Linked DNA regions of Schizosaccharomyces pombe. The gene in region 2 interacts genetically with the main gene of each other region. Each region holds a gene or a part of one and is shown on either strand. Other genes may lie near its edges. The genes, in order: pmo25 and ppk11.

Region 1 (3,857 bases), 420 kb from region 2:
GTAAAGAATGGTATAGGTACCCTTCTACTTTCTTTTTACCAGATAATTCACGCCTAAAATTTGTAAAGAGTGAGTTTGACGGTATTTTACCCGGTGAATTCGTTGAATCTAATTCAACATGGTGGAACCGTGAAGGCTACTATCAGATCCCTGAACACATGAATGAATTCAATAATGAAGAGCCAACTCGTTATACTTCTCTTGAGTCTTGCGATTTTTTAATAGATTTAGAGTTTGATCATTCGAAGGCCACAGTCAACGAACCGATATATTCAAAGTCTGACGGTTGGATTCCAGTCATGGTGTACCCTTTCATTGACACGAAACAAACTCCTTTTATGGGCAGAGCTTTTGCTGTCCCCTTTATTGAGCCTAAATGGGGCCGATATGAGATATTGGTGAAAAAGCCGGTCAAGATTGATTTTTCAAATTTGCGTCGTGCCTCTAAACAACAAGCTTAAAATTTTTAAGAGAGTGTATGTAAGCCTTTCTTAGGTTGTTATTACTAAAAATTGTAAAAGTCTTTGCAAGCATATGTCCAAAGCTTTAAATTCTCTAAGAAGAAAGAAAAGGCTGTGGAAACTCAATTACATAGAAAAAATGCGAAGTTATTTTACATTTGATTTTCCAATTTGTCAGATATTTAATTAATAATTAGTGTCAAATAATCTATCTAAACGGTTGACTTGGCGATGTCAGACAATCTTAGGAAGTCTTAGTACATGAAATAATAAAGTTCTTTTATTCATGGAATCGGTTAGCAATTAACCTAATGCTAATATCTAAAGCATCCGTATCTCATGCATCAAATATTTCAACTCGCATATATCATTTAATAAATCTAATCTACAATTTTTTTTCCTTTGTAAATATAGGATGGACAACAGCATGATTTTGAAAGACATGAGCACATTGGTGAGTAACAAGAGTCATAAGCGTTCAATCTGTTTTATTACAAATGCGCGTTCATCATTAAACTGCTCATCATTTTTCCGGTCAGTATGAAAAGCTGACAAGTAAGAAATCAACTTTGATTTGTTCCTCCTTAATATTTCGATTACTTCTTCCGACTTTTCAGGATTAGCAACAAACAATTTAAAAACATGAAAAGCTTCAAATTGAATGTTTTTACTCTTATCTCTCAGCAGAATCATCATTAGTTTCAGATTCTCAGCAGAACTAATATAGCGTGTCATGACTGAACGGTTAGCACGATTAAGAAGAATTTCCCCTAAAAGCTTTAAAGATTGACGTTTGGTAACATAATTTTCAGATTTCAAAAGGACAGTGTATTGCTTAAAAAACTCGTCAAAATGGTATGAAATAAACTCAGCAACTTGGGATTTATGATTAAGAAGAATAGACTGATTAAAGTTAGTAAATGCAAAACTAGCGGGAGTATATAAAAACATTGCAACGACAGAAGTTTTATTTGGGGATAATACGTACCTTAAAAGTCGAAAACGCATCACTCGCCATATCAAAACTAGAGGCTTGTATCAAACTAAAAAATGTCCAAAAATCTCGTGAGTTTAAAAGTACCTCATTAAGGGCTTCATGACGGGAACACTCACGAAGGATAGAACCAGCAGTAAAAGCTACTTCCTGGTATCGATAGTATGAGACCAATACTGGAAAGATTTGCGGGTGCGCAAGCATGTAGTCAACAGTGGGATATCTCGATGCTACATGCCTCCTAAGTAAAGCGCTAAATATTAGTCCTGTATCCTTTTTAGACTCAAACTCCAATTTCGGTAAATATCGAACGAGTAAAAAAGGTAAATTCGACTGGTAAATTTGAAAAGATAAGTCTGATACGAGATCAGCATCAGGCTCTACTTCAGCTGTCCCACACAATGAAACCCGTAAATTCTGTAAACATTTGGAAACTTCCTCAAAGGACTGTTTACGTTAGTCATCTAAACGAACAAAAACAACAATTACTAATAATTAATACCTTCTTTTTATCATTGTTTATTTCCAACTTTGGGAGATTATCACATAAGCAGCGAACAACATCTTGGGTTGATTTTGGTCGTTTATTGAACAGAAACGACATGCGGAATTATGGAATTCGGTTTCTCTAAAAACTTATGGCATATGACAGGGTAAGTAAAGTGGGTGCCAGGCGATGGTCCACAGTGGGGGTCTATTTTCATATTCAGTTGAATACTATTAAGGTACACTTCTTGAGTATTCAAATTACCTTTACTTATACCTGAAGTGATACCAATGTGGGGGTTGTTACATCTCGATTATACATAAGTAATCAAGTATTGAAACGCAGGTGCATTTAGATGATAGCAAGTGTACTAAGTAGATCTATTTATGAATTATGCATTTTCCATACCTTTTTCTCTTCGGTAAATGAATTGGTAGGTTGGTATAGCTAGTAGAAATACAAAGTAGTAAAACAAACGTTTTTTAATGCTAATGTTTGAAATAGTATCTGGGATAAACTTGTAAATTGCAAATACATCCAAATCTCCATATAAACTTCACAATTTAAAAAAATTATTTAATTTAAAAAAAAAAATAAATAAATACCTGCGAGGTTTCTCGTTCTTACCATTTAATCAAATTTTCATAAATAAATATGTGAGAAATTGCAATCCAATTTTCGTCACAGATATTAATCAGACGAAGGGTAAAATACTCTGCTTAAAATATGAATCAAGATTGAACAATCTTAAGAATTTTATACATGTGTAAATCTTCAAATAATATCAGGAAAAAAAGAATATGTAGAAGGAAGTAAACAATTTTAGCCTGTTGATTTGTAAATTTATTTTTTTTAATTCACACTTCGAGCTTTAACATTAAACAATTATGTAGTTAATTACATGATATTATTCTGTTTTTGATACGTTGCCTTAAACAACAATTATTGTAGAGGCACCATGTTAGGTTAACCTCGTCTTTCCCTGTATATGAAATTAGCCCGCTCACATATTGTCTTTAATGATTTTTTTGGATGTATGGATCTAATTTATATACTGCGTTTTAATCATACATTATTTGATTTTTTATCTTTTTATAAAGCAGTTTTACTCAATGACTTCAATTAAAGTAGTGTGCCGAATTCGGCCCACGAACCAGTTGGAACAAGACCTTGGAGGAAATAATGTGATATACCCATTAAACGATTCTACTGTTCATATCGAGGTAGGTTTCAACAATTGATCTTTACTTTAGAATTCGGCTGACATGATTAAAAGACTAGTGATTACTCAGGAAACTTTGTATTCGATCGTGTTTTTCATCCTTCTAGCACTCAGAATGATATATTTTCGTATTCAATTGAATCGACAGTCGATGGTATGTGAATGATAGTAAAACTTTACACGGCGTTGAACGGATTAATTTCATCGTTGTCAGCAACAGCTTGTATGAAATTATAGCATAGCCTTTTTTTATATGCGCTCGTTTTGACGCTTCATTTGAAACGAATTGCCATTTTAATACATTGTTCGAATCACATTCAAGTTGTTCTGAATTTCATTAAATATGTACTAATATATTATAGACTTATTCTTGGGTTATAACGGAACAGTACTAGCCTATGGACAGACAGGATCCGGCAAAACATACACCATGATGGTATATTCACAATTTCACCTGGCACACTTTTCTAACAATCTTTAGGGTATTGAAAATAATTTCGAAAAAGAAGGAATGACTCCAAGAATGCTCAGGCGTATTTTTGACAAAATCCGCGATTCACCATCTACTACTGAATACGAAGTGAAGGTATCATACATGGAAATCTACATGGAAAAAATTCATGATCTACTTTCCGGTAAGCCTTCAAATGCCGTAGAAATTTTGCGACGTTCGTATTTAATTTCAGCAAAATT
Region 2 (4,738 bases):
ATATGCATGGCTAGTAATACTTGTGATTCCTATGTAATTTATAATTAAAACAGCATGAACTGTAAAACTTTTTTAGTAGTCATCGTCAAAAAGCCATTTCATTGCTCATATAGACTAGCAAAGTTGTATGAGTATTACTGGGTTTGAAAAATTATATGCAAATTACTAAAAGATTTTCCAAGATTTCAGTATAAAGTATCAGAAAAAAGTACGAGCTTTTCAAGTCCTTACTGATTTAATTAATAGAGACTTTTATGACTGAGACCCTCTTTTCTAAAGTCATTATTTCTATGATTTCAGCAAGTTGTTTTGTTAATGTCCTTATCGCGTTTTCGTAAATTTTAAAACCTGGCAAAGAATATCAAAAATTATAAGTCATTTTCTCTTAAAATTATAAAACTTAAATTGGACAACTAATAAAAAATTTACTTTAAATTTGTTTACGTATGGGGTATGCGTATACCTCTCTGACTAAACCTGCTCTACTTGCCATTTACCAAGTACAGGTATAAACGAAGGTAAAAAAAATGGATGGAGACGAAGCTAGTTTAGTAGCCAACTTCTGCGCAATAACTAATTCAACACCTGAAAAAGCTCAAGAGTACTTGAGCGTTGCAGATGGCGATTTATCGACTGCAATCACATTGTTCTTTGAAAGTGGAGGCGTTACCGATGTGCAATCGAGCTATATAGAAGCACCGAGTCAGACTGAGCCTGTAGAAGAAATTCGTGCGCCTATTGCACCTACCAGAGAGGTTTTGGTAGACCCGTTAGCTGATATGTCAGCAGGAACTTCTATTATGGGCAACAACTTTGGATTCGGGGGATTTCCAAGAATGAATCGAAGACAAAGAAGGCGTATGGGTATTTTTGATCAATCTCCCTCTCAAATCCCTTTTCCATCAAGTAATACAGAAGACTCGTCAGAAGAGTCTGACAGTTCAAGTAGAGCGTCACGCCTTGCAAAATTGTTTCGACCGCCGTATGATATAATTTCCAATCTCAGCCTTGATGAAGCTCGAATAGAAGCATCTTCTCAGAAGCGGTGGATCCTTGTCAATTTACAGACATCAACGTCGTTTGAATGTCAGGTACTTAACCGTGATTTATGGAAAGACGAGTCAGTAAAAGAGGTGATTCGTGCACACTTTTTATTTCTTCAGCTTTTGGATGACGAAGAGCCTGGCATGGAGTTTAAAAGGTTTTACCCCGTTCGTTCTACGCCTCACATTGCTATCCTTGATCCAAGGACCGGAGAGCGCGTTAAGGAATGGAGCAAGTCGTTTACGCCAGCTGATTTTGTCATTGCTCTGAACGATTTTCTAGAAGGGTGTACCTTGGATGAAACCAGTGGTCGTAAAAACCCTTTGGGAGCAAAATCACAAAAGCCAGTCGAAGCGATGTCTGAAGATGAGCAAATGCACAAAGCAATTGCAGCTTCCCTAGGAAATGGAAACTCGACAACTGAATCTCAAGGCGAAAGCTCTTCACAGCAAGCAGAAAGTCATGGGGTGGCCGATGATACTGTTCATAAAATCGATTCAGCTGAATGTGATGCCGAAGAACCATCTCCAGGACCCAATGTCACAAGAATCCAAATTCGTATGCCCAATGGAGCACGTTTCATTCGTAGGTTTTCTTTGACCGACCCAGTAAGTAAAGTGTATGCGTATGTGAAAGGAGTTGCCGAAGGTGCAGATAAGCAACCGTTTTCTCTTACATTTCAGAGAAAAAGTCTTTGGACGTCTTTGGATTCTACTATCAAGGAAGCAGGGATCCAAAACACAGCTTTGCAATTTGAATTCCAATGATAAAAAGTTTGATGAGTGTTTTGCTTGCTTTTCTATCCCAAAAATAGATATTTTCCTTGTGGTTAAGTATAATGAGATACATCCTAATGAAATTCCACCGTTTATTTATTCATTACATAAAAAATGCTTTGGCATGCCAGTTAAGTAATAAACCATATATTAGCTGTAGAATTGACTAAACGTATATTTATATTACGCATCTACGAATACTACTAGTGCACGAAGTGATAAGTCCTTTAAAATATCCAGATAAATATTAATTGTTTAATATTTAAGTGCACTTTTTCTGTAGAAAGATCTCATACTCAAGATACAGACTCAAATATCCCTGTAAACATATCAGCCTTCGCGGATACCGACTTTACACGGAGCCATATGGCTGTTCCATATACGAAGTTCCAGGTAAACTAACACTATCAATCCTTTTTCTTTGTAGAATTCAATTGTATTTATTAATATATAATATGGAAAAACATCAATACCGGGATTTACAACTTATTGGACAAGGAAGTTTTGGATCAGTCTTTCGAGCTCAAGATGTTGAATCATCCAAGATTGTAGCACTTAAAGTTGTAGATTTAGATGCTACAAAGGACCAGATTGAGACTTTGACCCAAGAAATTAACTTTCTGATCGATCTGAATTCGGTTCACATTACGAAATATTATGCATCATTCGTTGATGGATTTCGATTGTGGATAACTATGGAATATTGCGATGGAGGAAGTTGTTTAGACCTTTTGAAGCTTTCAGGAACGTTCAGTGAACGTGTTATCGCCGAAGTTATGAGGCAGGTATTAGAGGCCCTTGTTTATCTACATGGTCAAGGTAAAATGCATCGTGATATTAAAGCTGCCAACATTTTAACTATGAAAGATGGACTAGTTAAGCTTGCTGACTTTGGCGTATCAGGTCAGTTGGAGAGCTTGCGTGACAAAAATGATGACTTCGTTGGTACGCCTTTTTGGATGGCTCCTGAAGTTGTAAAGCAGACAGGATACAATTACAAAGCGGATATTTGGTCATTGGGAATTACGGCTTACGAATTGGCTACTGGGGAGCCTCCATATTCTGGCATACATCCGATGAAAGTTCTTTTACTAATACCAAAGCATTCCCCTCCGTCATTAGAAAGAAGTAAGTTTTCACGTGCATTCTGCGATTTTGTTAGCAACTGTTTGAAAAAGAACCCAAAGGATAGAGCTACCGCTGAATATTTGTCGAAACACAAGTTCATCAAAAAGTATTGTCCCAACACATCTGTGAAGGAAGTTGTAGCTTCTTATGCGAAATGGAAAGAATCCGAGCTATTACCGGAAGCTACCCCCTATAATAGTACCATGGGTAATTCTGCAAACACCATTGATGAAGTTGTTTGGGATTTTGGAACAGTTCGGCGATAAGCAAACGTTCACTTTTTTTCTTGTCTTTTTTGATCGCCTTGTATTGCTATCTTACATCAGTTAAAAAATACGGTTTGGAAGCAATGTATTTATACAAGTTTTTATTAACAAAAATTCTCATGTTAAGGCTTCTTACCCATTGAGCCGACTGGCTTTTTTTTCCGAGTTTAACAACTACTGTTCATATGTTTTTTCTTCTCTTAGACCTTGATTTAATACATTCAATATCGATTTGTGATAGCATCGCAGCCCTATATATGACAGATTAACCTAATATTCGTTTGATTGCGACGAGTACCAAGATATAGAAGACGCACATCTTTTTATCCCTTCTGTACTTGATATGGTTTGGGACTTTAAGCAATCGTTTTATATTTGATATCCTGATTTCTTTTATATCTTCGTTCCGACTAGTCTCAATATTAGGACAATACAACACCTGCTATGAGCTTTTACTAAGTGATGGAGTTACAGAGGTTAACAGTATTGGAAAACATATATTTATGCAATCTCCCGTAATTCCTTCATCCTGTCATGATACCGCTGATGTTTACCTGAGTGTCTCCAAATCGACTGTACAACTTTATGAGTTACTGCCATAAGTTGTAGCTGTTTTTACTTTACAATTCCATTATATCAACCATTTCTATATCTGGATAGCCCGAATCAGGTAGGAATTGAAACCTTTGAAAATATAGTATGCAAAATCAGATTTAAAAAAATACCGTTTTGTCATGATTGATAGCTTTTTGTCAACCCAATAATCAAGAATACTAAATCTGTAACCCTAATTTCCAGTTACGAAAGAACATGTGCAAGTTATACAAGGTATATTGTTTATTTACTGTAAACTTTGCTGTGTGGAAATGAGCTGGTGTTCTTTGATCATATAGAGAATAGGATAAATAGATTTGGATTCTAGTTGATCAAATGCAAAGAGATTGCAAAATTTATAAATTGATTAGAAGCATATTGAATTAAATCACAGTAACTAATTCCCATAAGACTGAATGAATTTGTCCGCAATTTGAGATAATAACATGCATATAGGTTGAAAAAGCATGTAGTTATATAATAGCTGAGTTTTTGGTTTCTTTAGCAGTATAATAGAGAAAAAATAAGTAATGAACTTATCCAAGTCTGAAATTCTGCACTGGATCAGGAAGCCAGTTGGTCAATCAATCGAAACTGATTATTCAATAACAGCACAATTTCTATAATTTATTTCATCTCAAAAAATGAAGCATTCGCAAGAAAAACTTGTAATAATTATCGTTATTTATAAAAATACCAAATAAGCTGTGCAAGCGCTTAGAAAAGTACATGGAAATATTAAAGGTAAATAAGGAACGGCTGAACGGAAAAAAACTTGTAAATTTATGCATTTACAGTTGTATGAAAAACAAAAAGAATTGTTTATAATTAAGAAAAATCACTAGCTTTTCCACCAATTAACAATCCAACGATCAATCCAAATAATCCCAAGACACTTCCGAAAATTTCGACAACAAGAACTTTTACGAA

What was found.
Region 1: of ppk11 (region 2) and pmo25, changing one enhances a phenotype caused by changing the other (phenotypic enhancement), as found in Schizosaccharomyces pombe (one study listed by BioGRID).

Annotation. Positions count from the first base shown.
Region 1 is NC_003424.3:4,703,861-4,707,717, forward strand, and holds pmo25 (mo25 family protein Pmo25), read right to left. Parts: upstream 2,082-3,857; 5' UTR 2,060-2,081; coding exon 1,958-2,059; exon of another isoform or gene 1,903-1,957; coding exon 1,450-1,902; exon of another isoform or gene 1,365-1,449; coding exon 930-1,364; 3' UTR 628-929; downstream 1-627. Other genes in the region: mannosyltransferase complex subunit Alg9, read left to right, coding at 1-461; kinesin-like protein Klp3, read left to right, coding at 3,055-3,165, 3,219-3,318, 3,527-3,600, 3,646-3,799.
Region 2 is NC_003424.3:4,281,991-4,286,728, reverse strand, and holds ppk11 (PAK-like kinase Ppk11), read left to right. Parts: upstream 1-2,174; 5' UTR 2,175-2,275; coding exon 2,276-3,214; 3' UTR 3,215-4,238; downstream 4,239-4,738. Other genes in the region: UBX domain protein Ubx2, read left to right, coding at 528-1,811; vma16 (V-type ATPase V0 subunit c''), read right to left, coding at 4,637-4,738.